3 linked regions of the Astyanax mexicanus genome follow. Each later gene encodes a partner of the first gene's protein in a complex. Links are inferred from orthologs where the notes say so. Each region holds a gene or a part of one and is shown in the gene's direction. Other genes may lie near its edges. The genes, in order: taf8, taf3 and taf13.

Evidence for each region.
Region 2: taf8 (region 1) and taf3 share a complex: the UniProt entries of both Homo sapiens proteins name them as parts of the TFIID basal transcription factor complex. The link is inferred for Astyanax mexicanus from reciprocal best matches to the Homo sapiens genes TAF8 and TAF3.
Region 3: taf8 (region 1) and taf13 share a complex: the UniProt entries of both Homo sapiens proteins name them as parts of the TFIID basal transcription factor complex. The link is inferred for Astyanax mexicanus from reciprocal best matches to the Homo sapiens genes TAF8 and TAF13.

What each region holds. Positions count from the first base shown.
Region 1 is NC_064420.1:4,726,660-4,737,155, forward strand, and holds the start of taf8 (transcription initiation factor TFIID subunit 8), read left to right. Parts: upstream 1-3,251; 5' UTR 3,252-3,616; coding exon 3,617-3,631; intron 3,632-6,873; coding exon 6,874-7,033; intron 7,034-7,528; coding exon 7,529-7,627; intron 7,628-8,764; coding exon 8,765-8,827; intron 8,828-9,198; coding exon 9,199-9,323; intron 9,324-9,999; coding exon 10,000-10,147; intron 10,148-10,496. Other genes in the region: g0s2 (G0/G1 switch protein 2), read left to right, coding at 1,674-2,006. UniProt on the Homo sapiens protein: The TFIID basal transcription factor complex plays a major role in the initiation of RNA polymerase II (Pol II)-dependent transcription.
Region 2 is NC_064409.1:21,103,333-21,113,828, forward strand, and holds the start of taf3 (transcription initiation factor TFIID subunit 3), read left to right. Parts: upstream 1-3,346; 5' UTR 3,347-3,527; coding exon 3,528-3,693; intron 3,694-7,612; coding exon 7,613-7,873; intron 7,874-10,496. UniProt on the Homo sapiens protein: The TFIID basal transcription factor complex plays a major role in the initiation of RNA polymerase II (Pol II)-dependent transcription.
Region 3 is NC_064420.1:35,138,702-35,148,323, reverse strand, and holds taf13 (transcription initiation factor TFIID subunit 13), read left to right. Parts: upstream 1-3,554; 5' UTR 3,555-3,692; intron 3,693-3,809; 5' UTR 3,810-3,847; coding exon 3,848-4,222; 3' UTR 4,223-4,710; downstream 4,711-9,622. Other genes in the region: slc35c2 (solute carrier family 35 member C2), read right to left, coding at 1,396-1,506; troponin C, skeletal muscle, read right to left, coding at 7,531-7,562, 7,784-7,920, 8,016-8,130, 8,259-8,402, 8,500-8,551. UniProt on the Homo sapiens protein: The TFIID basal transcription factor complex plays a major role in the initiation of RNA polymerase II (Pol II)-dependent transcription.

The sequences.
Region 1 (10,496 bases):
GAGAAATAAAATTATTTAGAAATAGAGCCTTTCATAGTAATTATGTTGTTTTTATACACCAGTTCCTTATTCCTTATATGAATGTAGGTGAACGTGTTGACAGATCTTTAAATGTCAGTCAGCCAATCAAATTTTAGTTTCCTGTGAATAAGAAAAAAACAAAAAATAATATAGGGACATTCTATTGTGTTTTTCATTTTTATGATTATTAAAGAAACATGTTAAGTAAACAGAAAATAACTTATTTACTTTTTAAAACCTGAACTCTGCTGTAAAACTGTGGACTACAAACACACTCATCAAGTTCTTCAGTACGGAACATTGAATTATCTCACATGCCCACATCACTCACGTACAGTGAGGAAGATCCAGTGTTTTGGTCACGTGATCAGGAGATGAGGACGCTTGAGCAGAGTTCTCTCTACTGACTTGGCACAAACTGCAACACAGGAACTTGCACAAGCATGTTGGCAGGGTTTGCTCATACATATTCATATTTAGTGGGTGTGGCAACAGATAGCACTGTCCTTAAATAGGGAGTGAAGCTTTTAGTCAGTCGCCTACTAATTCCTGAAGAGAGACGAATAAGGAGTTATCAGCTGAAGGGTCTACCTACAGGTTTTGGAAGTAAGTATGATTTTACTGTTTTACTTTGGTCATTTTAGTTTTTCTAATTTCTAACACTTGATATTCTTTACCTTGTTGATTGATTAGCTATCTATATTTAATAAATGCATGCATGCACTTAATATTATCAGCCCTTATTATTATCTAACTGGAAATGTTACTACAACTTTCTCACAATAACATTAATAAAATGTTCTAAAAATGTTACGAGATCATGTGAAAAAATTGTTGCTAGAGTAACTTTCAAAAACATTACAAAACCTAGTTTAAAAAAGAGATCTCCCAACATTCATGGAACATTAAAAAAATGTTATAAGACCTTGTTCGAAAAAATAGTTGCTTAAAAGGTTCTAAAAAAACATAACAAAACCTAGTTTAAAGTTTCCCAAATGGTAAAAGAAAACATTCCCAAATTACTTTAATGGAAAATTTCAAAAACATTACAAAACCTTAATCAAAGTTTCCCCAACGTTCATAGAATGTTCTAAAAATGTTACAATAACTTTTTTTCATTAAACATTCTAAAAACCTTTCAACACCTTGTTTAAAGTTTTCCAAATGTTAGGAAAAATCATCCAAACTGTAAGGAAAATGTGTTCCCACAATAACGTTCATGAAATGTTCTAAAAACATTACAAGACCATGTTCAAATTCCCCCAAATGTTAGGAGAAAACATTATATAAAACGTTTCAGGACCTTGTTCAAACTTCCTTAAATGTTAAAAAAATTGTTCACACAGTAACTTTCAAAGAACATTCAAAAAATGTTTCAAGACCTTGTTTAAAGTTCCTCTAATGTCATATCCAATCATATCCACAGTGATGTTCATGGAACGTTTTAAAAATATTACAAAGACTTGTTCATAGTTCCCTCAATGTTAGGAAAAATCATTCCCACAAACTATAATTTATAACGTTAGAGGAATGTTTAAAAAGCATAATTTTGTTAGTAGGATCAGGATGTTTAATCACAGTACTTACCTCAGTACTTTCTTTCCACTCTCTCCTCACAGACTCCAACACAGATTTCAACCTTAAACAACATCATGGAGACCATGCATGAGATCATCCCATTCGCCAAGGAGATGCTGAGTGCAGGGCCCTCCAAGGGCTCCATGAAGATTTACCTGGTGGGTGGCACCTTTGCCGTTCTGGGCATGGTCAGCGGGATGATGGAGGTGGCCTGCTCGCTCTTCCCCGAGCAGGACGAGCCCGTCCTAGAGAAGCTGGAGGAGATGGTCCCGGTGACGGAGAAGGCCCAGGAGGCCCAGACCGCCATCCCCGAGCCAGACGACATGGATGCTGAGATGGAAGCCAAGGCTAAGGAACTACCCATGCTCAGGCAGCGGCGCATGAGCTTCAGAGCACACGCCTCATAAACAGCACACACTCCGCCGCTACACGTACTCATGCACTTAGCCTGGAACAGAGACGAGTTCTGCCTTTGCACTGAGGGATTCTTACGCATGCCTGACGGAGAGGAAACGGAAAGTGTCTGTTGGGATTGAATGCTGCTGAGCAGCGCAAGTTGCTGGAAGTATCGGAAGCTCCATGTTATCAAATGTTACGTATCAGATGATGTAATGATGTATTGATTTTCTACTGGGTGAACGTTCGTTATTTATACAGGATGTATTAAAGTCTTTATAGAATGTGCTTAAGTCTGACTGCCAATGAATAAAGTATAGTTTCCTGAAAGTGTGTCCCTTCTTTTTTTCTTTGTTTAGGAATTCAGGGAAAGGTTGTGAAAAGGACTGAATTTTGAGGGTTGAGTTCTCCTGTTTTGCTAGGGAAACTACCGTATTTTACCCCTTCTTCCCCCGGCCTTCCTCATTACTATTTTTCCTGTAAATTTCTCATATTATATTATAATTTAAAAAATAATAATAATTAAGTGCCTGTCCAAACTGAAATGTCACTAACCTTGTGAGAAATGCCACCCAGGCTGCTGCAAGAGGCAGTTCTCCCGAGGTTAGCGCCGACAGCGGGAACAATCCTGAAACAACAAATCAGAGAAATTAATGGATGCAAGGAGAGAGAGAGAGAGAGAGAGGGCATTTATGCAAAAAAACAAAACCAAAAAAAAAAAACCACCATATTATAATGACACATACTCAAAAATACTATGTACATTTGTATATCAGAAAATACCATTGATCACAACAAAATAACATTAAAACAAAATATATATATATATACTATTTATAGTAATATATATAGAGAGTTTTAATGGCTTTTTAGGGCTGTATTAGTTTAATATAATGTTAACAAAAACAAAATTATTATCAACCTAATGAATAATGAAGGCACTTAATGCTACTTAATGAAAGCAGAGTTATTTAACATAATAATAAGGTTGAACCAAGTGTTAGCTACAGAATGAATGATATAATAAAATAATATTATTGCTAGATATAGCTATATTTTATGTCGTGTCAAATACGTTTCTATGGCACTTCCTTAAAAATGTATTAGTTATAATCTTTTTCCAATATTGTTTTCTTATTAAGAAACTTTAAAAACTAAATATTTTAATAGGATTTTATGTCGTAAGTTTTCAGTGCTTGATGTTTAAGGCTTTTATTTTGGAATATTATTAAAACGCTCAACGGGACTTTTATTATCTTATTATTCAGGCAGCCAACCCTAACGGAGGAGCTGCGAGGCTTTCCGCTAAACTCAGTGTTTATATAGATTAGCCTGCTGGATTTTAGAGCAGATATTAGTGTTGATGGTTTAATATGTAAGTAAAGAGATGGAGGATAGCGCGGTTAGAGGCAGCGGGGGGTTAAAGACTAGGCTGGGCTGAAATTTACCCGAGCATTTACCTGCTAGAACGCTGGCTAACCGGCTAGCTAGGCTAGGCTAAGCTAAATTATTACTGTGTGCTAACGGGGCTCAGCGAGCTGCTAATGCTAACTAGCTGTATTTAACGCTTTTAAAAACAACACATTCAGGAGCGGCGAGACCCACAGAGAAGAGCTTCAACATGCTGACAGGAGAGGTAACTCGCTTTTTACCCGCTTTATTATTACAATTATTATATAAAGAAAACAGCCTAGATAACGTTAGCTAACCTAACTTTTAAATAGGGGATAAATATAAGAGATTAAAATACGCTATACTGCCAAAAATTTTCATTTACCAATCAAATTCAGGTGTTCCTGAATAAGCATGCAGACTGCTTCTACAAAAATTAGTAAAAGAATGGGTCTTTCTTAGGCGTTCAGTGAATTTCCTCATTACTAACCTTCAATATTCCACAGTAGGACTGTAACTAATTACTGATTTAGTAGTCGACTAAGCTGTCGATTATTTGGTTAATTAGTCGAATTATTTGGTTAAGTAGTCGATTATTTTTGTCACGCCCTCCATATATAACTTATTACTGGTGAGGACCGCTAAACATTTAGGCCCAAAGAGAAATTTTGCAGTACATTTTGATAGTTTAACGTAAGTGTGTGAAACTAAAAATCATAAAATATATTATAGGAAACATTTACACAGACTGTATGTTATTTTCAGGATATTAAGTTATAGGATAATTGTAACTGTTTTTTTTCTTCGTTTTTTTTTTACAAGGAGATTTCTCCCTGAAATGATTGTTTGTCTAAAAAAAAATAATAATTTTTGTATTGTTATAGTCTATAGTTACAGTAACACATAACTTAATTTTATTGGAGTGGACAGAGTAAGTTACAGTTTCTCTCTAGCATTTAGCCAGCTGACATTAGTTTAACTAATGTTAGTAATGTTAATGAAGGAGTGAAGCTTGTTTAAACTTACCTCAGCAGCTCTCTGCAGTAATTTAACTTAAACCACGGGTAATATAGAAGCCACTGTTTTAACTTTGCAGTTAACAGAACTAGTAAACACAAACTGTAGAGTATAGTGTGGAGTTAAATGTGTTTGTTTGTGTTTAATGGAGACTAGTGCTGCTTTTACACTCTCTGCGCGTCTTTTCCGTTCTTTCTCTCCTGCTCTCTCACGTGCTGCAATCCCACCCATACTGAAACCTCATTGGTCAATTAAGCATGAAGAAAGGCCAATCAGGATGCTCAGGATTAGTCACTCTCTCACAAGGGCTGCGTCCAGAAACCCCAAAAGTGTCTCCTTTTTCCTACCGATCCTCCTCCTCTCCTCCGTGACCCGGAAACTGATTTCGTGAGGCCATCTTGCCGCCTGTCCGAATACCGTTGGAGACGAAAGAAGCCGCTTAAAATCCACCTGTAGTAGGCTTCCAACGGAGGGTACATCAGTGTATCCTACTCCGGAAGACTTTTAAGGATTTTTTAATGACATCACTGCATCCACGCCCACAGAGCACGCGAAAATGGGGAAGGCAACGCCCAAATATACGTCATAAACATATTAATTAACTAGGTTCCTTATCTAATTAAACAGCCAGTAAAGCAGTAATATAATTTATAGTTTAGATAAACTGTATGCTCAGTAAAACTATATTTATGACCCTATGTGTATCATGTTATACATATAAAAACATATATTATTTATAATATATATATATATATATAATTTTAATTAATTCATTTATTTACTTATTTATTTTAACTTAGGGACTGATGAGGAAACTGAATCCCTCATAAGGCTGAGGTCAGACAGGGCTGCCAGAGTCACTGGTCAGAGATGCGGCTGGGAGTAAACAGGATTTTATTGGAATATCTGAATTTTTGGCTGTGTGTGATAGTAATGTTCTGAAACGTGCTGAAAGTGAGCGTTGTGATTGGCTCAGTTCAACGGTAGTCAACATCCTATCTAAAAGGGATCAGCTGTCCCATTTCCCCAATTACAGCTCCTTCCCTCCATTCCTCCTCCTCCTCTCCTCTCCTCGATTCCTCCACCTTCTTCCGGGGTAGGAGAGGAGGAGTAGGAAAGGAGGAGGAGAGGAGGAGTAGCAAAAGTTTCTGGACGCAGCCTATGTGTGTGTGTCTTCCTCTCTCGCATGCATGTGCTCGCGTGCATGTGCTCTTTTATATCGTATTTACGAAGTGAGAGCACATGTACACCACCAAAAACTCATATTTACCAGTAGGAAACTCGAATTTTTAGAAAAGAGTGTTCCGGTTGGGGGCCTGTCAGTAACTAGAGGGCATGGTGGCTGCCAGTATGAACCCTGCTCCTACAGTAAACAGTCAAAACTTGAAGCTTATAAGCAAAAGTTTTAAGTTTTACAGGTTTAAAAAAAAAAAAATTAAAACGTAAAATTCTGCTATGAATTACAGTTCTAATGGGAAAAAAACACCACTCACCTAATGCGTGTTATTTGCTTCATTCTCTTGGAGTAGGGAAAAATATACCACTTTTATATGAGAGTATAAACAAAAGGATTTTCCCAATGAGGTCCATTTTCACCGGACCAAAAAACACTGGAACGCATGGCAAGTCGTAATTACGACTTCCAGCTTCGTAAATAGGAATTTTCTTGGTGAACTTGAAGGCATCATCTTTCTCTCGCTTCATCACACCTTAACGATGCATCAACAATTTTTTATAACCAACGGCGTCGATTGTGCTGACTAATTGTTAACAGTGTTACTATAATCATGAAAAACTATGGATTTTATAACTATTTATAACTATAACTGTACCCGACTGGGTATCGGATGTTGGTATTGGAGCCTCATTTGCAAAAACAAGTTTAAGCGATTGGGAATGTCAGCAACTTTCTCCACAATCAACCGCTTCCATGGCTGAGCATCTCTATCCAAGCTTTACATCACCAAGGACAGTGCAGAGCATCAGATTCAGTTGTGTAAAACAGTTGCCATTGGGTTCTAGAACAATTCAATGCATGTGTTTGGGTTTGGCGGTTGCCAGGAGTGCACGGCGCCAAGCATAAAGTTTGGTGGAGGGGAGATTAGATGCAGGTTTTTTTTTTTTTTTTTTGAGATTTTGGATTATCACAACTTCGCTGTAGTTTGGGATGCCCCCTTCCTGTTTCAACATGACTGCATAGCTGGTTTCAGGTGTTTTAAACTGGTCTTTTTAGAGGTAAAGGTGGTTTAAAGGCTGGCCATTCCGGCATGCTGGTTATTGAGCAGACCACACCGTCAAACATATTTGATGTAAAGAAAACTATATAAAACAAAATAAATGCACTCTGTCTTAACCACATATAATTTATCATCACAGATATAGGTTTATTTTACAATTACCTACCAGTATGCATTGGATTTTCTTTATCCAAATTAATTTGTTCCTTATTATATTTCTTCTTAATTGCAGCGGTCAGGAGGTAACAAGTCGAACACGAGCCCTGCAGAGAACTACTACCTGGCTCGGAGGCGCACTCTTCAGGTGGTGGTCAGCTCTCTGTTGACAGAATGTGGCTTCGAGAGTGCAGAGAAAGCTGCGGTGGAAACTTTAACAGAAATGATGCAGAGCTGTAAGTAAACTCAGGAGGGATACCACTACCAGTCAAATTCTTCTGTCACACCAATCTGTCACAATAATTACAATATTGACTTGTCATACAGTATATAGGGCCCTGTGAAATCTGTTTTATTTTTTGAAAATTACTTTAATTTTTTTTCTGTTCACATTTTTGATTTTTAGGTATATACTAGTGCATCTAAAAAACAGAATATCATCGAAAAGATACTTTATTTCAGTAATTGAGTTCAAAATGTGTAGATGTATGATGTCAATTGACACAAAAAAGCAGCACCAACTTTCGTAACCAGTAGATAAGTCCTCATATTGAGAAACTGCAGCCTGATATGACTGAGCATGTGTTGCCCTGTACAGAGTTGGTGTCTTTTTTTCTCTTTTCATTTCATTTCATTTCATTTCATTTGACTCTTCTTATGTAGTTAAAGGATTACTGTAGTTCTGTACTAAATTTGTGTGATTTTTAACCTTTTTTTTTTTTTTTTTAAAGATATAACTGAAGTAGGCCGCTGTGCAAAGGCGAGCTGTGAGCATACAGCGAGAAGCACTCCCACACTGTCAGACGTGGTCATCACACTGGTGGAAATGGGTAAGCTTAAGTCTTAGTTAAATATAAACATTCAAAACACACAGTGGACAGAGGAGTGGGTGGGAATGATCATGACTGGCAGTGTCTGGCTCAAATTGTCAAACATGCCAACAGACGTGTGACTTTAATTATGTCGTCGCTATCCAATGAAAAGCAAAGTCTCCATTTTTGTCGGTTTTTAGTTTACCACATAATTTGAATAGACAAATTGTCGCTTACAATGTGCCAAAATTTATCGATGAACGAATTATTAGAAATACTTAAAAATGACCTGAAATTAACTCTTTTTTTTATGTTGACTTCCATTAAAAATGAAAAAGGTTTAGTTTTTTTCCTATAAAATGTAGATTGGAGATACTAGTTTTTCATTGGACAGAAACAATATACAAATTTAATGCAGGAGACTCCACATGCATATGCCACAGATCAGTGTAGCATTATTTAGCTTCCATGAAACATGGCAGAACACATGTTGGCAGGATAACTAGTTTCTGTCCCATGACATTTTGTTTTTTGTTTGTTAATGAACTGTCGTGTCTTATTTTATTATTTTTGTGTGTTTTTTGTTTATCTTTTGAAAAATTGCAGCAGTTTTCATTAGCACAGGCCTATTTTTGTACATTTTTTAATAGTTTATATTAAGCTTGAAGAGACAAGCACTGATTGACTTACATAAGATCATAAGATGTTGTTAATTTGTGCTGCACAGATCCTTACTTGCAATCATGCAGGGTTTTGTTGGCTGCCAGGGCCTGTCAAATGTCTCTGTCTGCTAATAACTGAAACCAAAAATCTGTCCTCCTGCTGGACTTGTTCTGCTCCAGCGAGAGGTCAGTCTGAAATTACAACACAGAACCACTGTCTGAAGGGTTGCAGGCTGGAGGCCACATCATCCTTCACCCTGGTTTTCTCAGAAACGTTACAAAGGGGAAAAAGCAAAGCTCAGATTCAGTATTCAGAGATATTCACCATACATTCTTAATTATTGTATTATTTTGTTCTGTTTATTGTATAGTTGCTTGCTTATATTAGGCATATGTTTGTTTGTATTCATAATAAGCTTTTTACAGTGGTCTGGACAGTGGTTTGTACATATAGAATATTAAAATATCATTTTCTTTCTTATAATAATTGTAGGATTCAATGTAGACACACTTCCAGTGTATGCCAAAAGATCCCAGAGGATGGTCATAACTGCACGTAAGTGTCTTGCTTTGTTTTCTTTATTTTTATGTATTAGGGCTGCAAGTATTAATGCACTACAAGCGGGTAGTGCACTATAGGACCCTAAGCTTTTGTCCTTAATGGCATTTTTCCCCACTTATATTACTTTTACTTTTATACTGTAAGTAGTTTTAAAACCAGCACTTTTGTGTACACTTTTACACAGTTGATTTTTCAACTTTTACAGAAGTATATTAAACACTAGTATCTATACTTCTACCTACAGTGTAATTAATGTAAATAAATTTCACACCTTTGGTTGCAGCCCAATAAGATAGGAATATAAATGTGACTCTTGAATTTGACTCTTTTGACTATAAATCTTATCTGTTTTTTCTCTTTATCAGCTCCAGTAACCAATGCCCCAGTCATCCCCAAGTCTCTGGTGGCTGGACAGAAGCGCACTCATCCAGCGTACATCCCCAGCCACTTCCCAGAGTTCCCAGACCCTCATACATACATCAAAACCCCAGTAAGGCTTCACAGTGTCCATGAGTTTTACATGTTAGTTTTTTTTATTTGTTCCTGGGTTGCCAAATATTGATAAACAGTATGGACTAGTAATAGTCATTTACACTCGTATGGACTGTGTCATGTATGTGCTTGTTTTTTTAGCATTATATAACTGGGGGGGGCAATAATCTGCATTTCTAATGTTTTTTTCCTGCTTAATTAAAAAGAGCAAAACAACTGACAACCAGGAAAATACTCGTTTTTCTGCATATAGTACGATTACTACACACACTTCAACTACTGAAAATAGTGTCTGTGTGTTGTTTTGGGTGGCTTGACAGTGGCCTTAAAATTCCAGTTTCAGAAAAGTGTAAATAAATAAGGGTAAAATAAGGGTACAATAAAAAAACAGTACTTACTACAGCACAACAAATGTCTCAACTATTATTAATTAGCACTAACTAAGACAATAATAATAATTACACATGCTTTAACTAATGGAACAATTCATTCTTATTGACTTTTTGCAACATTTAACAGTAATGTTTAATAGTATCTTATACTAGTGTCAATTATTAATGAGTTGAGACCTTACAATGTTTTTTTATTGTAGTAGGTACTGTTATTATTTGTGACCTTTAGTACAGAAGCTTATTTTTTGAAGCAGAACTTTTATAGCTGTTGCTGATTTTCAGACGTTCCGTGAGCCAGTGTCTGAGTACCAGGTGGTGCGGGAGAAGGCAGCCTCTCAGAGGAGAGACGTTGAGAGAGCTCTGACGCGCTTCATGGCCAAAACTGGGGAAACACAAAGCCTTTTTAAGGATGACCTCACTGCCTTCCCACGTAAGCATTAACATCCATCACAAACATAAGAGCAATTGTCAGTGAGGTGGGAACTGCTCTGCATCAGCAGCCAGAGTCTGAGAGACCACAATTGGCTGTGCTCTCTCTCTGTGTGGGTAGGCAAATATAATATATAAGACCAATTGGTACTTTTGGCAGTGTGGGCAGTGTTCCAAGTCCTGCTGGAAAATGAAATCCGCATCTCCATAAAAGTTGTCAGCAGAGGGAAGCATGAAGTGCTGACTTGCTTTACGCAATAAAAACAAGATAAACAGTACTTGCTGATCACAATCCGTTTTTGCAGCCATTAATTTGTTTAACACATAAAAAGGTATAAATAAATACATTT
Region 2 (10,496 bases), on another chromosome or scaffold:
ACTAGGGGAGAGTGTAAAGGACTTACACTATATGTCTGAATGTTTTTGGATATCCCTTTTAAAGAATGCTGCATTCAGCTACTTTTTAGGTCACACTTACTGCTGATACAGATGTGCAGATGCACACAACTTGCTTTGCTTTCATATCCTCACAGAAATGTTCCAAAATCTAGAAGGAAGCATTTGTTAAACTGTAGAGACAGTTACTCCAACAGAGGCAGGACAAACTCTTTAATACCCTTGATTTCAGAAGAAACCATGAATGAGCTGCTGTTCCAATATTTTGTTGTTTATTGTAGCCCACAGTAGCTTGCAAAAGTATTTATACCCCTTAAACTTTTTTCACATTTTGTCACCACACAACAACATATTTAAATGTAGGCCTATTGTATTGAGATTTGAAGTGGTAGACCAAAACAAAGGGAACAAAAATGATATGTGGTTTTCAAAAATGTATTCTAATAAAATCTGAAAAGTGTGATGTGCAAAAGTATTCAAACCCCTAAATAAAACCCAGTGCAGTCAACTGCCCTCAGAAGTCACTGAATTAGTTCATAGAGAAGTGACTTTTGCACTTTGCCACAAGTCATGTAGGGGGCACATCAAACATGTGGAAGAAGATGTGTCCCTGTGATCAAACGATATCAAAGTTTACATTTTGGGACAAAGTGCAAAGTGCTTTGTGTGGCGAAAAGGTAACACTGCTCATTACTCTGAATACAGCACCCAACTGTGAAACATGGTGGTGGCAGCATCATGTTGTGGGTAAGCTTCCTTCAGCAGGGACAGTAAAGCTGGTTAGAGTTGATGGGAAGACAGATGGAGCCAAATACAATGAAATTCTGAAAGAAAACCTGTTGGAGGCAGCAAAAGACTTGAGACTGTAAAGGGACCAGTTTTACCTTTCGGCAAGACAATGACCCTAAACATATAGCCAATATATTTAGTTAATAATTATGTGTTAGAATGGCCCAGTGAAAGTCCTGACCTAGCTTCTCTAACATCTGCTGAGCATCATTGTAACATTTTACAATTATGTGTTGGTTTATCACAATCTCAATAAAATACATTAATGTTCGTGGTTGTAAGATGACAAAATCCTGTACTGTATTTGTTTTCCTCCATTGTTGCGACTTAACTCGGGTTATCGATACAGGGAGCCTCCTTAATATAAGGAAAGGCTTGACCTAAAAAAAAAAATAGCTTTCTGGTTTAATCCAATCAGTGAGCTTCTCCCACCACTCAGCCAGCGCTCTTTGATTAAAGCAGGTTAAGTTACACTGAACTGATTACTGATGAACTCTACCGCCTCCGCGGCCCCTCCATTGTTGTTTTATAATAATTGGCAATCAAAACAAGTTTAGCCTCCTCATTATCCCCCTGCAACCCGACCCCTCATCCTAATAAACAGCAGCGAGTCGGGCATGGCGGCCTGGGCTTGGGTGACGCCTGCATGTGAAGCAGTGCTGGTGTTGAGTGACTGCACTTTAGTAAGGGTGAGTTCTGGGGTCGCTGATCGCGGCTCTGGGAGAGGCCCCTGACTGATAGCACTGCGCCAGGGGGAAAGTTTGTTTGGCCAGATGGCAAATCATGCATTATTCACCTGCTGGCAACTGGATCCATCGTGGTTAGGTGCTTTATGCATGCTAATCTGACCCATTCCTGCACGTGTCCCAGAGTTCTGTTCATCATCTAGATTTAGCATTTGGAGTTTGGTGGAGTGCAGTAGCCAGTATTAAACAACTATAATAAAAGTCCCCAATGCAGAGCCAAATAAAAAAAAGTAATGCTCTTTTAAAGTTATGACCATTTAAACTTCAATTCCAGGAGCTAGCATTGTGTCCCATGAAAGCGAAATAATGCTTCACTGACCTCTGCAGACAGGACTGAGTGTGATGAGGTTGAATGTGACGAGGTTGAGTGTGACAGGTTAAATGTGATGTAGTTGAGTGTGAAAGTTGAATGTGACAGGAATGAGTGTGACGGGATTGAATGTGATCAGGTTGAATGTGATTGAATGTGGCAGAGTTTAATGGAATGGAGTTGAGTGTGAAAAGTTGAATGTGACAGGAATGAGTGTGACGGGGTTAAGTGTGCTTACATATGGTTACATTATGGTTGCTAATGTAAGCATATGTGTACATTAGCAACAGAAACTTAACATTAATAAATTGGCATTATTTATTTGTCTGATGTTGTAATGATGGTCAGCGCAGATATACAAATAGGTTTGATGTCTACAACTTTAGACACATTTAAAAAATAATAAGAGCAATGTGTACAAGTATTAAACAACTATAATAAAAGTCCCCAATCCAGAGCCAAATAAAAAATAGTAATACCCCTTTAAGATGATGACCATTTAAACTTCCAGGAGCTAACATTGTGTCCCATGAAAGCTAAAGAACGCTTTTTAACAAAATGTGGCTGGTGGGGAGTTTAACCTCTTTTAATGTCTCCTACAAACTCTTTTAATGGATAATTATTAATGTTATATTTTAAAGGCATATTTGACATGTGCCTAAATAGTATTCATCACATATGTTCAATAGTTTACTACAATTTATATAGGGAATATAAGTAATAAAGTTCTGTGTTTTGTTTAAATACATGTCATATTCCATGTGTGTGTAATGTACACAATTTTCCATGTAAATGAGTAATTTAAACGTCACTTTTATTCAGATTTTTTATATCTGTTTTATTTATTGGGAACTTATTTATCCGTTATTTTAAGATGAACATTTTATTCGATTTATTTATTGGATTTTTAAAAACATGTTTATTATTTGGAACTATTTTCATCCTGTTAACCTATTAGGAACTTTTTTTACTAGAACCATTTTTAATTTGGTTTATTTATAGAAAACCTTCATTCTGGTTTATGTATTTAGAACTTTTTTTAATCTGGTGTATTTATTGAGGACTTTTTATCTGGCTTATTTACTGAGAGCCTTTTTATCTGCTTTATTTATTGAGAACTTTTTTATTTGCTTTATTTATTGTGAACTTTTTATTCCTTTAGTTCTTAATTTATTTATTAAGATTTTTTTTCCGTTTATTTATTGAAATGTTTTTTATCTGGTTAATTTATTGGGAAGGTTTTTTAAATTTTTTTGGGAACATTTGTATTAGATTTATGTATGGGAACCTTTTATCTGGTTTATTTATTGAGTTTTTTTTATCTGGTTCATTTATTGGAAGCTATTTATCTGGTTTGTTTATTGAGAACTTTTTATCCGTGTTATTTATTGGGAGCTTTTAAATTAAGGACGTGTAGATGATCCCGCACATAATCGAGTCGCGAACGGTCTTGTGTGTGTGTTGTGCGCATGCGTGGAATCGATGACTCGACTATCGGTTGAGTGAGTGAATGATGGCGCCTGCTATGGAAGCGCTAACCGACCTCCTGATCTGAAGCAGCCCGGAGAAACAGCAGCAGCAGGAGCAGCAGGCCGGTCCAGCGCGTGTTTTAGCGGCTTGTTGTGGTGTGGGATATGCCGTGTCCGGCTCGGCGGGGCTGAGAGATGTGTGAGAGCTATGCCCGCGCTCTGCTGCGGGTCTCCGTGGCGCAGGTCTGCCAGGCGCTGGGCTGGGACGCCGTGCAGCTCTCCGCCTGCGACCTGCTCTCCGACCTGCTGGAGCGGTACCTGCAGCAGCTCGCCCGGGGCTGCCACCGCTACTCCGAGCTCTGTGAGTAGAAATAAGGGATTTACACATGTGAAATAGGGCTTAGGGGTGTGTTATGTGGAGTTTTGAGTGCAAGAATACTGATTTATCAGCTCTTGGAGCCAATGTTTTGAGTGTGCGCCTGGGCTCCAGGTGGTAGCTAGCACTAGGGTAGTCAGTGTTCTGACTGTTTTGGAGCTTTAATGGAGACATGTTCGTAATAAAACTGCATTCAGAAGCTCTCTTAGCTCTGTACGTGTGAAGAAACAGGTTAAAATGTTGAAATTCAGGCAATTATGCTTTTCCTGCTCCTCTGTTTGGGAACACTGGTGCACCAAAGCTGCAGAGCAGATCTCAGTGAATGTAAATAACTTAATACTTAAATGTCTGTTAAATAATAGTTCTTCATTTTTATAGGTTTGAGTAAGCTCTATATAGCTGTTTATCATACATTTCTGCATAAGTCTGATCTAAAACGTCCTAAATCTTGAAAGTGAGTAAGATACGTAGAACCAAATCAAACATGAGGCTAAATATAGTACACTTGGTCATGTTTTTATTGAGGACAATGATTCAATAGTGTATATGTGTAGTAAAACTATGTAAACACTTAGGATTAGGAGATAGTTTAAAAAATTGAGTCAGGTTTTAGATCCTCACCACCCATGTTTATGGAAGTGCATCATCTCCCACAAACAGGTGAATTCTGGGAACATCAGAGAAAGCATTGTTGATTCACATCAAGCTGAAATTGTTTCAATAACATCTCTAATGTTTGGACTCCACAGTCAGATAGATTACAGTTACATCATTACCTCTCCCAGTAGCATCCACAAAGAAAGATCACACCAAGTGCAAGGTGTGTAATAGTCCCCAAAGTCACAATGGATTCAAAATTACTTCTAAGCAACTTCTAAACCTTTCTCACATTGTATACAAATTATGTTAGTGTTAATTATCATTAGTCTTCTATCAGAAGAGCACTGAACAACAATTCTGTGCATGGCAAAGATGCCAGGCAAAAGCAGCTGTTCACCCACAGGAACATTGCTGCCCATCTGCAGTTGGCTTAAGATCACATGGACAAGCCAGAAGGCTATTTTTGTGGATAAATTGGTGCAAAATAGCTAGATCCTAAATTACATGTGTTGTGTTTTGAGACAGAAAAGCACTGGCTTCCTGTATAAAAATCTCAACTGTGGAACATGTTGGTAGTATCATGGTTTAAGCCTGTTTTGCAGCATCTGTCCCAGGAGAACTTGCCATTATTGATCGAACAGGGAATTTTAAACTAGTGTCAGGACGTCTGTCTGTGATCTAAATATCAAACAAATATGGTTATGCAGCAACAACATGGTCCAAAACACACTTATAATATACCAAAAACAGTTGGTTTTTGGTATATTAAAGAATTAGGTTATTTTTTTGGAATAAAGAACTCACCAACATAACAGGGCTGAAGCTGCTCTGTATGGAGGAATGGACTACAATTGTTTAGAGCTGATGTGCAGAACTAAACAACCATTTCTGAAAATATTTAGTCACAGTTATTGTTGCAGAAGAAAGCAAAGGTTTACATACTTGTGCCACTCATAGATATGTAATTTATAAATAATAAATAAATGACTGAGTTAGATATTTGGACTCATTTGTTTACTTTGGTTCTACTTATCTAGTTTCAGGTCATATTTGTGTTGAAAATATACTTAAATACTTCTAAAGGTGTTTAACAAGATGTTGCCAACTCAAGCAGTCACAATATTTAATATTCTGTAAAAAAATGTATGTTAGCAATATTTGCACTAAATGTCTTCTTTATGTTTATTTGGATTTATACTAATATTATATAGAGGTAAGTACAGGTAGACACTCTCACTGACCACTGAGTTTATGTTTATTTGGGTTATTCTAATGTTATATAGACTTCTAGTTTACTCACAGATATGTAATATTGGATAGTTTTCCCTTCATAAAAAAGAGTCAAATATAGTTGGGTTTTCCTTATCCATTTTTTAGACTTGTGTATGAAAATCTGATAATATCATAATATTTATTCTGAAAATATAAGTAGAAAACCTCAAAGTGTTAAACAACTTTCAAGCATCACTATAGTAGCTAAAATTGCCAACCCAAGCAGTCAATCATGAATATTCTGTAAAAAAATAAATAAACAAAAAGTCAAGTTAGTAGGCTTAACTGAAGCAGAAAAACACGTTAATGTAATATATAATGTGAATATATTCATATTTCCAGCAAATATTGTATTATAGTGAGCTGTTTTGAGGCACACTTCCCTTCTTACACTTCCTAGCCTCGCACTGTTTACATCGTTAGCCTGCTGGCTAAGCTAACTTGCCTGCTAACATGCTAACTGGCTAACGTGAGATATGCTAGCGGCCAAAGAGTCGCGTGTTGTGCCTGTTTTGTGTGTTTAATTAACCTTTTTGGACAAATTGACAGATATTGGGTTAATTCGTGATGCATGCGGTTGACATTTGCTCGTTATAATATATTGTATTAGGTAATTTATATACTTAGCTTGCTAGCTAGCATGGTAGCTAATTTAGCATGCTAAAGTTAGCGGGGAAACGTACGTGCTTCTGAATTAACTTAATTAAACAGCAAATCTCAGGTATTGCAGGGCAGAGGTGTTTGTTGAAGCAGGGGCAATGTGTTGTATGTATTTGTTTGCCTTTATATAGTTTAAATATTTCTAAAAAAAACGGTAAAGTCTAATGCTATATTTGAGCTTAAGATGCTGATGCTGGCTGTTGCCATAGAGATAAAGGTAGCTCGCAAACTAGCGAGCATCTGTATGGATGAACTTGTCCACTTTGCCCTGGTCTATAGCGAATTTGTTATACAAAATATAATTAGTTATATAGTTAAAATTTTACAGGGAGACACTCACTAACCACGGATGTAAACTGGGTTTATTCTAATGTTATATAGAGTTAGTTACAGGTAGATACTCTCACCAAACACTGACTTTATATTTATTTAGGTTTATTCTAATGTTATATAGAGTTAATTACATGTAAACTTTCTAACTAAACACTGACCCTATGCGTATTTGGGTTTATTCTGTTGTTATATAAAGTTAATTAAAGATAGATACTCTCACTGATCACTGACATTATGTTTAATTAAGTTTATTCTATATGTATATATTTACATACTGTTTTATATGCTGTTTTATTTGTATACTTCACATAAAGACACACTCCCTCCGGAGAACCATGGTTTAAAATATTTAATAGGCTGCATAATCCTGGACCCACACTGTGTGTTGTAAATTCAGAGACAGTCAAATTTTTTTTTTAATGTTTACTATTCAATATTAAATAAAGATATAATTCAGGCTTTAGTGAGTGAAGGTGCTAATAGATTTAAAAAGGGTGACACTAAGAGTGTGTGTCCCATGGATGTGAATAATTGCAAAATTATAAAAATGAATATATTGTCCTTTCAGCTGTCAATATATCCGTTTATGTCAGCTGCCATGTTGTATGAGTGTGGTTGTGGGCGGTTTATTACTTCCAAGTTCTGCATTTTCCTACTCACATATCAAGAGAGGATGCTATTTCCTTTGTGGTCCACACTGCCTTCACCCACCAGGAACAAAAGGATTTCTATGTCTGTATGATCTTTGTGGACTTGACATTTTAACACCATAATCCCTAAGAATGAAAATAAAGTCCTGTTGAATGCTTTAATCACACACTTTTTCATTTTATCTGTTTTGTGCTCTGTTTGTGCAGTCTGCCATCTGACAGATATACAGCATTATTATTTTTTTATTTGACCTGTGAGAATGGGACTGCACTGGTTCTCATTTTTATGTATTGTATAAGGATTCAATAACAATTTTTACTGTGACAGGCCTTACTCAATATTTTCATTTTTTTCATTTCACCACATTGTGCTTTCTTTCCCTCCGTAGATGGACGCACGGACCCCGTTCTGAGTGATGTGGACCGGGCCTTTGGACTGATGGGGGTGAACATAGCAGAGCTGGAAGACTACATCAACCAACTGGAGCCAGTGGCCTTCTCTCAGCAGATCCCTCAGTTCCCAATCACCAAGAGCAGCATGCTGCAGTTCCCTGCTGCCGGCTTCGAAACAGACGCCCGCAACGCCCTGCGAGGAGAGAGAAGAGACTACATCCCAGAATACTTCCCTCCACTTGTCTCTCTGCAGGAAGGTAAGTACTTCTAAAATTAAACTACACAGCACATAATATATATACGGTACTTCATTTATTAGCAACTTCTTTTTTGGAGCTCCATCTAGTGTACAGTCAAGAGACTGCATTTACATTATTGATACACAGACCAGAGGTCACTAAATAGTGACCAAAAAAACAATAACCAACAGAATGTAAAGAGTAATTTCTCAGGAGATGCCTTTCTTTTCATCTTTTTCATACAGTTGGTTATTGATAAATCTTAATGGCAGAATGAATTAAGTGATGAGGATACATACATTTATCCATAACCAGCTGAATGACCCCAATTTTGCAAAGCACCCTATTTTCAGTGTATGAACAGTTATATATATATTTTGTTTGTTTGTGCAAAACTGTGAATGTAGTTTTGTTTAAAATATTAGGTTCCCTGAAAACTATGTAAACTTATTTTGGTGCTGTGTATTCTTATTATGAAAGTGTTCTCTGAAAGTCTTACATTTTATTTCCCCATGTCTGTAGATGCCCTGTAGATAGAGATTTCAGTCGCATACATCTTAGATATTACATGTGTCTTGTATTACACCAATCAGAACTGTACGTGTGTAATGATGAGTGCATAATATTAACTACACTAATATACAGAAAATGTAGTCATGTAGTCAAGATAGTAATGAATATCTCTAATCTGTTCATCACAAATAACAAACAAGCAGAAGGAAAAGTTTTATTTTGGTTTTATTTTAATGTAATTGTATAATTGTTTCTGATTAATTGTGTCCTCATGAAAATTAAATATATTTTAGCACACACACATACAGTGAGTCCAAGAAGTATTTGATCCCTTGCTGATTTTCTTCGTTGGCCCACTAATAAAGACATGATCATTCTATACTTTTAATGGTAGATGTATTCTTACATGGAGAGACAGAATATTAAAAAGAAAATCCAGAAAATAAATCTAAGGAATATATATTAATTGATTTGTATTCCATGGAGTGAAATAAGTATTTGATCCCTTAGTATTCATTAGCAGTTCTGGCTTTTACAGACCAGTTAGACACTCCCAATCAACTTGTTACCTGACCTGAAGCCACCTGTTCTCACTAATCACTTGTGTGAAAAACACCTGTCCACAGAATCAGACAGATCACACAGATTTCAAGTCTCCAACATGGGTAAAACCAAAGAGCTGTCACAGGACCTCAGAGTCAGAATTGTTGACCTTCACAAAGCTGGAATGGGCTACAAAAAGATTAGTAAGGTGTTGGATGTGAAAGTAACAACTATTGGTGCAATTATCAGAAAGTTTAAAGAGTATAACATGACAATCAACAGACCTCGGCCCGGTGCTCCAAAGAAGATTTCGCCTCGTGGGGTGGCAATGATGCTGAGAACGGTCAGAAATCGTCCTGCAACCACTCGGCAGGAGTTAGCAAATGACCTGAAGGCAGCTGGGACCACAGTTTGCAAGGAAACAATTGGCAACACTTTGCGCAACAATGGATTCACATCCTGCAGTGCCCGAAAGGTACCCCTGCTGAAGAGAGCACATGTGGAGGCGCGCCTCAAGTATGCCAATGATCATTTGAAAGATGAACCAAGTTATTGGGAGAAGGTTTTGTGGTCAGACGAGACCAAAATTGAACTTTTTGGCCTCAATTCCACCCGCCATGTGTGGAGGAAGAAAAATGCTGCCTATGACCCCAAGAACACTGTGCCCACCGTCAAGCATGGAGGTGGAAGCATAATGTTTTGGGGGTGTTTCTCTGCCAAGGGTACAGGGCTACTTCACCGCATCACTGGGAAGATGGATGGAGCCATGTACCTCACAATCCTGAGGGACAACCTCCTCCCCTCTGCCAGGGATCTGAAAATGGGCCGTGGTTGGGTCTTCCAACATGATAACGACCCTAAACATACAGCAAAGGCAACAAAGGATTGGCTCAAGAAAAATCACATTAAGGTCATGGAGTGGCCCAGCCAGTCGCCAGACCTCAATCCGATCGAAAATCTATGGAGGAAGCTGAAGGTCAGAGTTGCCAAGCGACAGCCCACCAACCTTCATGATTTAGAGAGGATCTGCAAAGAAGAGTGGGCCAAAATTCCCCCTGGTGTGTGTGCTAAACTTGTGGTTAACTACAACAAACGTCTCACCGCTGTGCTTGCAAACAAAGGCTTTGCCACTAAGTATTGAGTGTGTTTGGCAAGAGGGATCAAATACTTATTTTCCTCATTGAAATACAAATTAATTAAAATATATTCTTTAAAATTATATTCTGGATTTTTGTCTTGATATTCTGTCTCTCCATGTTAGAATATATCTACCATTAAAAGTGCAGAAGGATAGTGTCTTTATTAGTGGGCAAACAAAGAAAATCAGCAAGGGATCAAATACTTCTTGGACTCACTGTATATACATATATATATATATATATATATATATATATATATATATATATATATATATATATATATTCTTATATTGTACTTGCCTGCACTTCTTAAAGGATAATAATTGCAAACTAGATTTATAAATGGAAACAGCAAATTATATATAAAATTAAATTATATATATTGGTTGTGTCAGTCACTTAAATATATATTGTATTAATCATCACAATATTAAAATCATGATTCA
Region 3 (9,622 bases), about 30 Mb from region 1:
TTTTACATTATTTAAGTAATTCAGAGCCCAAAACAAGCACATACGTTTTTTTTCATGATGGTGATTTATGATGACTGATTTATGAATTTAAGTGTAACGCAAACACCTAGATTTTATTGATTATTTTTAAAGAAAATTTACCAAGAAAAAAATAAGCAAAATGCTGTGCAAATGCTTTAACTAAAATTTAGACTTTTAGACTTAATTTAGACTAATTTAGACTTTAATAGAATGTAGATAAACAATAATAAACGAGAATATAGCAAAAAAAAAATAATTTATTAATTAGACTGTTCCAGGAACTTATATACAGACACACATAAGTACACACACATCAGAAAAAAATGAATAATAAAAAATATAATTATACCAGAATGTGATATAGAATATAAAAGAGATATATGAGTGTGATAACTGTGAGATTAGGCTAAATACACATGTAATGTGTGTGCAGACATGAACAAGGTCGTTACCTGTGTCCATATTAGTTATTAATTTAAAGTCATACTATTTTTGATATTTGATATTTTGTATTATGACACTGGAAATATTATATAATAGATTTGATGGTCAAATCTAGGGGAATTATCTCATAAGTCTTAAGTCGTCTCATAAGACACAATGTATCACATTGCGGCACAGTTAAAAGCTCCACAGGACAGTTAAAAAGCTCTGCAGGACAGTTAAAACAGTTAAAAACCTCCGCGGTACAGTTAAAAAAAACTCCGCGGTACAGTTAAAAACCTCCGCGGTACAGTTAAAACCCTCCACGGTACAGTTAAAAACCTCCGCGGTACAGTTAAAAACCTCCGCGGTACAGTTAAAAACCTCCACGGTACAGTTAAAAACCTCACGGTACAGTTAAAAACCTCCGCGGTACAGTTAAAAACCTCCGCGGTACAGTTAAAGAGCTCTGCAGGACAGTAGGAGAGTGTCGCAAGACAGTAGGAGAGTGTCTCGGGACAGTAGGTGAGTGTCGCGAGACAGTAGGAGAGTGTCGCGGGACAGTAGGAGAGTGTCGCGGGACAGTAGGTGAGTGTCGCGGGACAGTAGGTGAGTGTCGCGGGACAGTAGGAGAGTGTCGCGGGACAGTAGGAGAGTGTCGCGGGACAGTAGCAACAGGACAGGGACAGTTTTTGCTCTTACTGCTGCTGCACAAATCTCAACAAATTTCTGCTACACATTTTTTTGAATAACAATATTAATTTTTAAATCTAGACCACAATGTGCACAACAATTACAGGCATGCCAACCTTGAAAGAATTTTATGAGTACAAATTTCCCCACTCAACACTCGCAACCCACAAAGTGGTAAACCATGTAAATCTGACCAAATAATTTCTTTGACGTCTTTGCCATCTACAATAAGAGCGTGAAATGAGAAATTTGCCTCACCTTCATGAGCCACTTGTTGTAGAAAGTGATTCCTATTGAGAAGACATAGTAGAAAAGAACCAAGCCCACATTGCGGAGTGCCCGGCAAATGATCGACACCGGCCATGCCATCGCCACACACTAGGCTCTGCACGTTCCCCAGACAGGAATGAGACGTCTACCTAGCAAAACAATGACATATTAAGGGTCAGTCAAAAAAACAAGAATAGTAAAAACATACATATACTTGCTGCAATAAAACAAGCTGGATTTCAAGCTGGATGTTTTACAGTTTTCATGCATCTTGGCATGTTCTACTCCACCAGTCTTTCACACTGCTTTTGGATAACTTCATGCCACTCCAGGTGCAAACATTCAAACAGTTCTGTTTGGTTTGATGGCTTGTGATCATCCATCTTCCTCTTGATTATATTCCAGAGGTTTTCAATTTGGTAAAATCAAAGAAACTTTTTTTTAACTCTTTTTTGGTCTCTTATTTTTTTCCCGAGCTGTATGAAAGTATGTTTTCCGACTATGAGACTCCCCTAAATTTAAATGCCATTAAGTGCTACTGATATAAATTTTAATATAATATAATACCATAAAAAAGCATTTTAATTAATCCTACTGTGTGTATGGAGTATTTATGTGAACAAATATACAAATAAACACAATAGACCATATTACGACTATTAAATACTAATGAAGTCATGTGGCAGGTTACTTATAGCTAGCATGCAAAGAACGAGCAGCACGTGCCCTAACCTGTCCTTCAGGTCCATTTGAAAACAAGCTGTGTGTTTAAGTAGATAAACAGGCAGCCAGTTAGCTAACCTTACTAACTAACTATCAACATCTTACAGTGTAACCTAGAGTTAACCTGTCCATTATCCTGGTTAACCCACCGCTACCCAACAGCTAACCCAGCTAAACCTCAGTGTTCAGACTCTCTTACCTGGTTAACATTGTTCCCTCCAGTTACAGACTGTACTCCTAGTAAAGAGCTATGTTACCATAGCTGTTCCTGTAGTATGGAGTCTCGGGCTGCTGATAGTGATGATTTAATGGTAATGTATAGTTACTCAGGTGATCAGGGTCCGCTACACTCATTCACCATGGTATATATATAACTCCGTTCTGTTTTGGTGTCTGGCAGCAGCAGCAGCAGCAGCGGCCACGCTCCTCTGACGTGTACATGCAGTGCACCCCGGGAAATGTGGCCCGAACACACAGCCTATACTACACACACTACACACACTGGTAATTAGTGTGGTAGCTGGTGAACTTGTAATTAAACTGTAACTGGTATTAAAAGGCTGTTTTTTTTTATTAATTTTTTTTGTTCAAAACATTTTTTTCAGATCACAATTCAAGCTTTCAGCAAACACCCTTCGTCAATATTTATACATTACTCCAATACTGCAGGGGGCGCTGCGAGCGATCACTCGCCGCCAAACACGTGTTAAGATTTATTTTTAATTAAAAATACATATATATAATTTTAGGAGGTTCTAAAAATAAATAAATAGATAATAATAATACTAATAACTATTATTATTATTATACTAATTATTATTATTATTATTATTATTACAATGTAGAAAATAAGCATAATCAGATTTTTTTATTTTGAATGAGTGTGTTCAAAAAAATACTTTATTGTCACAAAATTATGAGTTTTTTTTATTTTACCAAATTGAAAACCTCTGAAATAAAATCCAGAAGAAGATGATTACAATCCATCAAACCAAGCTGAACTGCTTAAATCTCTGCACCAGGAGTAGCAAAAAGTTATCCAAAGCAGTGTGTAAGACTGGTGGAGGAGAACATGCCAAGATGCATGAAAACTGTGAATAAAAAACAGGGCTATTTAATCAAATATTGATTTCAGAACTCCTAAAACTTTATGAATATGAACTTGTTTTCTTTGCATTATTTGAGATCTAAAAGCTCTGCATCTTTTTTGTTATTTCAGCCATTTCTCATTTTCTGCAAATCCATGCTGTAAATGGCAATATTTGTAATTGGAATTTGGGAGAAATATTGTCCGTAATTTATAGAATAAAACAACAATGTTCATTTTATTCAAACGTATACCTATAAATAGCAAATCACTTATTCTTTTTCAGAGTTGTATATATGTTTTTCTTTTTTTTCCTGCAGTATGAAGCAGGTTGATGCAGTTGTGTGCAGATCTCTAGGTGGCAGCAGTGCTTCTATAGAGCTTCGTAAAGTCCTAGTAGAAGAGGAAGTGTGTGTTTGTGGCTGTAACGCCAGAGAAAAGGTTCTGTAGCTGGTTGGCGCTTAAAGTTACATAAGTAAGTTACATATTCAGGAAACTGCTTACGTTTTTTTTATACGGATAACAGTTAGAGTCTGAACAGTGTGTGTTTGTGTGTGTCCTGCCGTATCTGAATTGAGTTTCTGGTTGATAGTAGGGGACTTCAGCGCTACTGCGGGCCGCAGCACAAACATGGCTGAGGAAGACGATGATCCGGGCTTTGATGAAGATCTGGACGATGTTGGAAACGGTGTGGATTCAGGACACGGCAGGAGAAAGAGGCTGTTTTCTAAGGAGCTGCGCTGCATGATGTACGGCTTCGGAGACGACCAGAACCCCTACACGGAGTCAGTGGACATCCTGGAGGACCTGGTGATCGAGTTCATCACGGAGATGACCCACAAAGCCATGTCCATCGGGCGGCAGGGCCGCGTCCAGGTGGAGGACATCGTGTTTCTCATCAGAAAAGACCCGAGAAAGTTCGCCAGGGTGAAAGATCTGCTCACCATGAACGAGGAGCTGAAGAGAGCTCGCAAGGCTTTCGACGAGGCCAACTATGGGTCCTAAACTGTCTCTCACACACGAACAGTCTGTGGTGGTGGTTTCTCTACCACTGCTGGGTTTAAAACGACTTAAAAACTCAGTGTTTTGTGCTGGTATATTGGTCAGCACGTTTCACAAACATGTCCGGTTCTTATAAAATGCGTTTTTCCTGTTGTTTTTGCATTTTCTTTAACTGTTTGTATGTTTAAGGTGACCTACTTGGTTGAATTAAAGTTGGAACAGGTCTAGTAAAGTTTTAATTTCTGTAGGCTGATTGTATAAAGCACTGTGCAAAAGTAATCCCTGCTAAAAATACAGGTCAAGACCAGCTGGACTACCAACATAGGTCTGGATGACCAGCTGGTTCTTATCTGGATTTTTTTAAAGCAGGGATTGATCTTCAAATTTATTGCAGCTCTGTTATAACAATTGTTTTGTTTTTACATTTTCCGGCACCTGTGTGGAAAATTAAACAGAACCATCAACAAATAAATAAGCAGATGTTTTATTCATTTTTTAGCGTTTGTTCTTTTTGAAAAACACTTAGAATTTGTAAGTCTTGTAATTAATTTTTTTTCAAACCTCCTCCTGAAGTAGAGGAGTTCACTTCTTTCCTTTTAAGTTGTTCCAAACACACAATGTATTTTAAGTGTTTATTTAATTTATTGTTGGCGATGACTGCTTACAGCCAATAAAAACCCAAACATCAGTGACGGAACATTAGAATATTATATAAGACTAATAAATACTTTTGGCAGTGTGCCAAGTCCTGCTGGAAAAAGAAAACCACATCTCCATAAAAGTTATCAGCAGAGAGAAGCAGCAGATGACATGTCTCTCCAAACCATCACTGATTGTGGAAACTTCACCCTAGACCTCGAGCAGTTTGGTCTGTGTGTTTCTCCACTCTTCCTCCAGACTCTGGTTCCTTGATTTCCTAACAAAATGTAAAACTTACTCATGATCAACAATAGTTTTGAGCGCCAAGTCATCTGCTGGTGCTGGCTGCCTTTTGTGTAATATAAAGTACCAGTTGATTTTATATAATATAATACATTTTTTGAGACTGTTTTTTGGTGTTTCATTGACTCAACAATAAAATAAATACATGCTTAAAATAGATCATTCTGTGTGTAGTACATCTATATAACATCAGAGTAAATCTCAGTAGATAGATATTTGCTTCTGTCAGAAACAAGAAAGTATTATGTGGCAGAGATTGTCATATTTTACACTTGTCAGAAACTGTAATACAGGAAGGTTACGTTTGCAACTTGTCTAATATAAAAGCTGCTGTAATGTTGAAGAGGTCTGCTAACTATTTGTACAAATAACAAAACAAAACAACTAAATGAAGTGTAAAGGATACAATAGCTTGCTCATCACTTTAAATAGTGCTCTCTGTTTACAAATAAAAAAACTAGTTGTGTAGGAATTTAAAATCTAAATCGCAATCAAGAATCAATCATATATTCGACAAATATTGATGTTTTTTTTGTATTGCCCAGCACTTTTTTTTACTTCAGTTTAGTACTAAAAATAGATCTTGACATTTGCTTTCTATAAGATGAAAGCTTTGTGCTGTTTATTAGAGGCAGTGTTTTGACCATCGTTAAAATTAAATAGGAGGTGTCATATGTAACTTTCCCACAGTACTATATTAATGACTATGGCTCTTTTTAAAATGTAATAAATTACATCTACTCAGGCAGTGTTTGGAGACAAAAAAGGTATGGAATCAAGCACTTGTTTAAAAAAACTGTCTGTTATGGTACCTTTTGCTTAATTGTAAAGGCAGCATGGATGTATCTTACATAACCCATGATTCTTTGGGTTACAGCTGCCTCGACTTGCGAACATGACCCAAGCACGCGGCAATCAGCAGAAATACGTACGTAACAAATGTACGTTTTTTACAATTATTTACCCAAATTATCAGTTGTCGTCAGTATTTTGGCTTTTTATGTCTTTATGATTAGAATTAGTTACACCACTAGTCATGTCAGTTTCATGGTGTTGCTATATTTAAAGTGCATCTCAAACACAATCTGGCTGAAGCACCCTCATCATAGTTCTGCCTTCTAAGGTACTTACTATAGGAGACTGCATAGGCAGCAAGGCACTGAGGCAGCTGCCTTTTATTTTGGACACTGCCTATATGTGCCCATATTTGGAAAGTCATACAAAAGATTTAGCAGTTCTCTCCAGAGCACTGCCATATTACGAAGTAGTTGAAATTTAAGACTCTAAATAAAAATTAAAGACAGCAATAGCGAAATAATGATGTCTGCAATAATGCGTAAAAATTATATATGCTCTGATTAGCAGGAGAATTTGCTATCTGTGCACAACTAAATACAGGGTTTATTTCAAGCAAGATATTTTGGTGGTGTCTGCAATACTACAGTTACTACAATTAATCAAACATTTACACTTCAGTGTAACACTTGGACCACGGTCATGATATATGTGCAATCATGTTCTCAAGACCTCTGATTGAAGAATGAACAATAAATGCATAATTATATTGTGAAGTGATTCATATTGAATCAACAACAATGCAGCAAGGAATTAGCCCGAGATGGTCGAGCGTGACCTGCCTATTAAGAAGGAAGCAATCATCACACATTATTCTCAAGCATCTTAAGATTTTACGTTTTTTTTCTCATCCATTTTACATAGACATTTCGCATATGGGTTGACTGATGAAACTGAAGCACAACCATATTATGAATGACCAGTCATCTCAATCCTTATTTGGGTCAATGAGACTTGGGGAAGAAAAACGAAAAAAAAAAAAAAAGCTTTATTGATGAATTCCTCAGAACATAACCAAATACAGATTTGACTAAACAGACCAACTAAACACGAGCATGTCTTTTATTTTTTATTCTGTACTTTCTTTCAAGCGTTTGATCTTAAATACAATGAAGTATGAGAGGTTGTTGCATTGGTCTAAGCAGCGGTAACAAGCTGCCTGCTGATCTAGTCTAAATCTCGACTAAACGCCCAGCATTGCGGGGGTCCACCATGGCGTGGTGCGTGTTTTTGATGTACTGGCACCACAGACGCCACAGCTTGGCTCTTCCAGGAACATGCGGGTTAAACGTACCCCAGGATCATGATTGTTTGCATGCTGAACCTTGGCAGACCCCACCCAGGTGTCTGTCTGTTATGTCTGTTGAAGCGGCATAGCTGTGTTGAGATGAAGAAGGAGAGTCAACGGAGCAGATGGTGGGCAAAAGGGTAAAAGGGGGCATGAGTAGGTTTGAAAGAATGGGCTTGAGTTGACAGGGGGTCAAAGGGGGGAGGAATGTCCATGAGTCTCTGTTTTACTGCACGTTCTCCATCATCTTGAGGAATTCTGAAAAATAAAGGCATTGTAGTCCTCCATTAAACTGGTGCAACAATATTTAGCCACAGCATAATAATCATAATAATAATGTATTATTATACAAGCGTGTATACTTGACTATAATTCATAGAAAACTACAGTACTGCCAACACAGTGTATATAAGAGTTTTTAATACTAACAATAACCCCTGCATATTCAATGACATTCTTAGACATAAAAGCCGTCATACCGTCAAAGTCAAGCATGCCATCTGCGTTCTTGTCTCCGTCCTTCAGCAGCTCATCAATCTCATCTTCTGTGATGGACTCGCCAGTGCTGCGGATGATCTCAGCAAACTCCTCTCTGTCAATGTAGCCATCAGCGTTCCTGCGAAACCGCCAGGAAATGCAAGGTCAATCATCCATTGAATAAATACCATTCATCTGGAGAAGCCTAGTCTATATCAGTGAGTCGTGACATACTTGTCAAATACACGGAAGCACTCTGCCAACTCTTCCTCGCTCTTGCCAGCCTGGTCCTCCTTTAGGAGCCTCACCATCATGACCAAGAACTCTTCAAAGTCAATGGATCCGCTGCCTGAGGTTGATCAAAAAGAAGTGTACAGCCATTTTCGCTAAAGTAATATCGCATAGTGCATTAGACCTACTTATATAGACAGTAGTATAATCAACATGCTGTTTTTACAAGTGTCCCCAAGTCCTTACCATCCTCATCCACCTCCTCAATGATTTCAGCCAACTCCTCTCTGGTTGGATTCTGACCCAACATCCTCATGACAGTACCCAACTCATTGGTGCTGATGTCACCGCCACCGTCAGTGTCGAACATGTCAAAGGCAGCCTTGAACTCTGTTATTGCAAGAAACAAAAATCTCATCATACATCAAACAAACACTACAGTACACATTTAGAACTGATTAATTCATTCGTTAATACAGCCACTCACCAGCAAGCATCTCCTCGCTCAGGTAGGAGCGGGCCTCCTGCTGTGCGTCAGTCTGACAACCCACACAACAGCAATGATTAAAATATACCATCATTCACTTTATACAACCATATTTCTTTGTCATAATCCTGATGATGAGAAATGCTGGGTGTAATAATAACAGGCCGTATCTACCAATATATTCCTACGAAGTTTCTTTCTACATTTGTTTTGGAGAATTGTCCAACCAATTTGTGTCCAATTTTTGTCAGATTTATTGTTCATTCAAACTGAACAAATGCCAAGTTAGATAATATTGGTGAATGTCAGACTCAGATTTTGTCAGACTTTGTAAAAATTAGGTTTAAGAAAAAAATTATTAATACAAACAAATATAATAAGACCCATTTTATTTTTCTTAGCACTTTTAATAATAAATACTGTTTACTAACCCTTTAAACATTCTAGGCCTGTATATTAGCCCGCACTTAAATTTACTCTCAAAATACACAACTTAAATATTAGTTCAATGTAATCATAGGATAATTCATACAACTTCCTGAATAATACAGTTTAAAATAGTCTAATGTTCAAATGGTTAAGTTTTAGGCTTTTTCTCAGCCATGCGCACTGCAGTTGGCGCATTAATGCTATTTTAAGGATCAGCAGGTTATCTCCCACTCAGTGCCTCTACATGGCAATTCCGAAATTTAACTCCCGGAATGTGGCGCCTAAGCAAGTAATCTGGATGCACACACACTTTACTGCCCGGATCAAATGGCATCTCACCACCCTCTAACCTCACTGGTGCCATGCCAGTTTGGCTTTACATACTGTCTGCTGACTGCTAAATTAAATTTACAGAAGTTTTGGGCATCAAGTAGGATTTATGAAACACACACACAATGGCTAAAACAGCTTTAAAACTGAATTAGGCCTAAAATCAGACTAGCTGGTATTCTAACAAAGCATAAAATCTTTAACTTTCTTTAACGTTTATCCAACAGACACAAGCCTATGCTAAATTTTAAATTTAAAAAGCCCAGTGTACTAAATGTGTGCATGCCTCTTAATTAAACTGTTCTAGTTTACACATGCCAGCTTTTTTTTTTTGTAAAGGGTTGATTCAGGTATTATGAGAGAT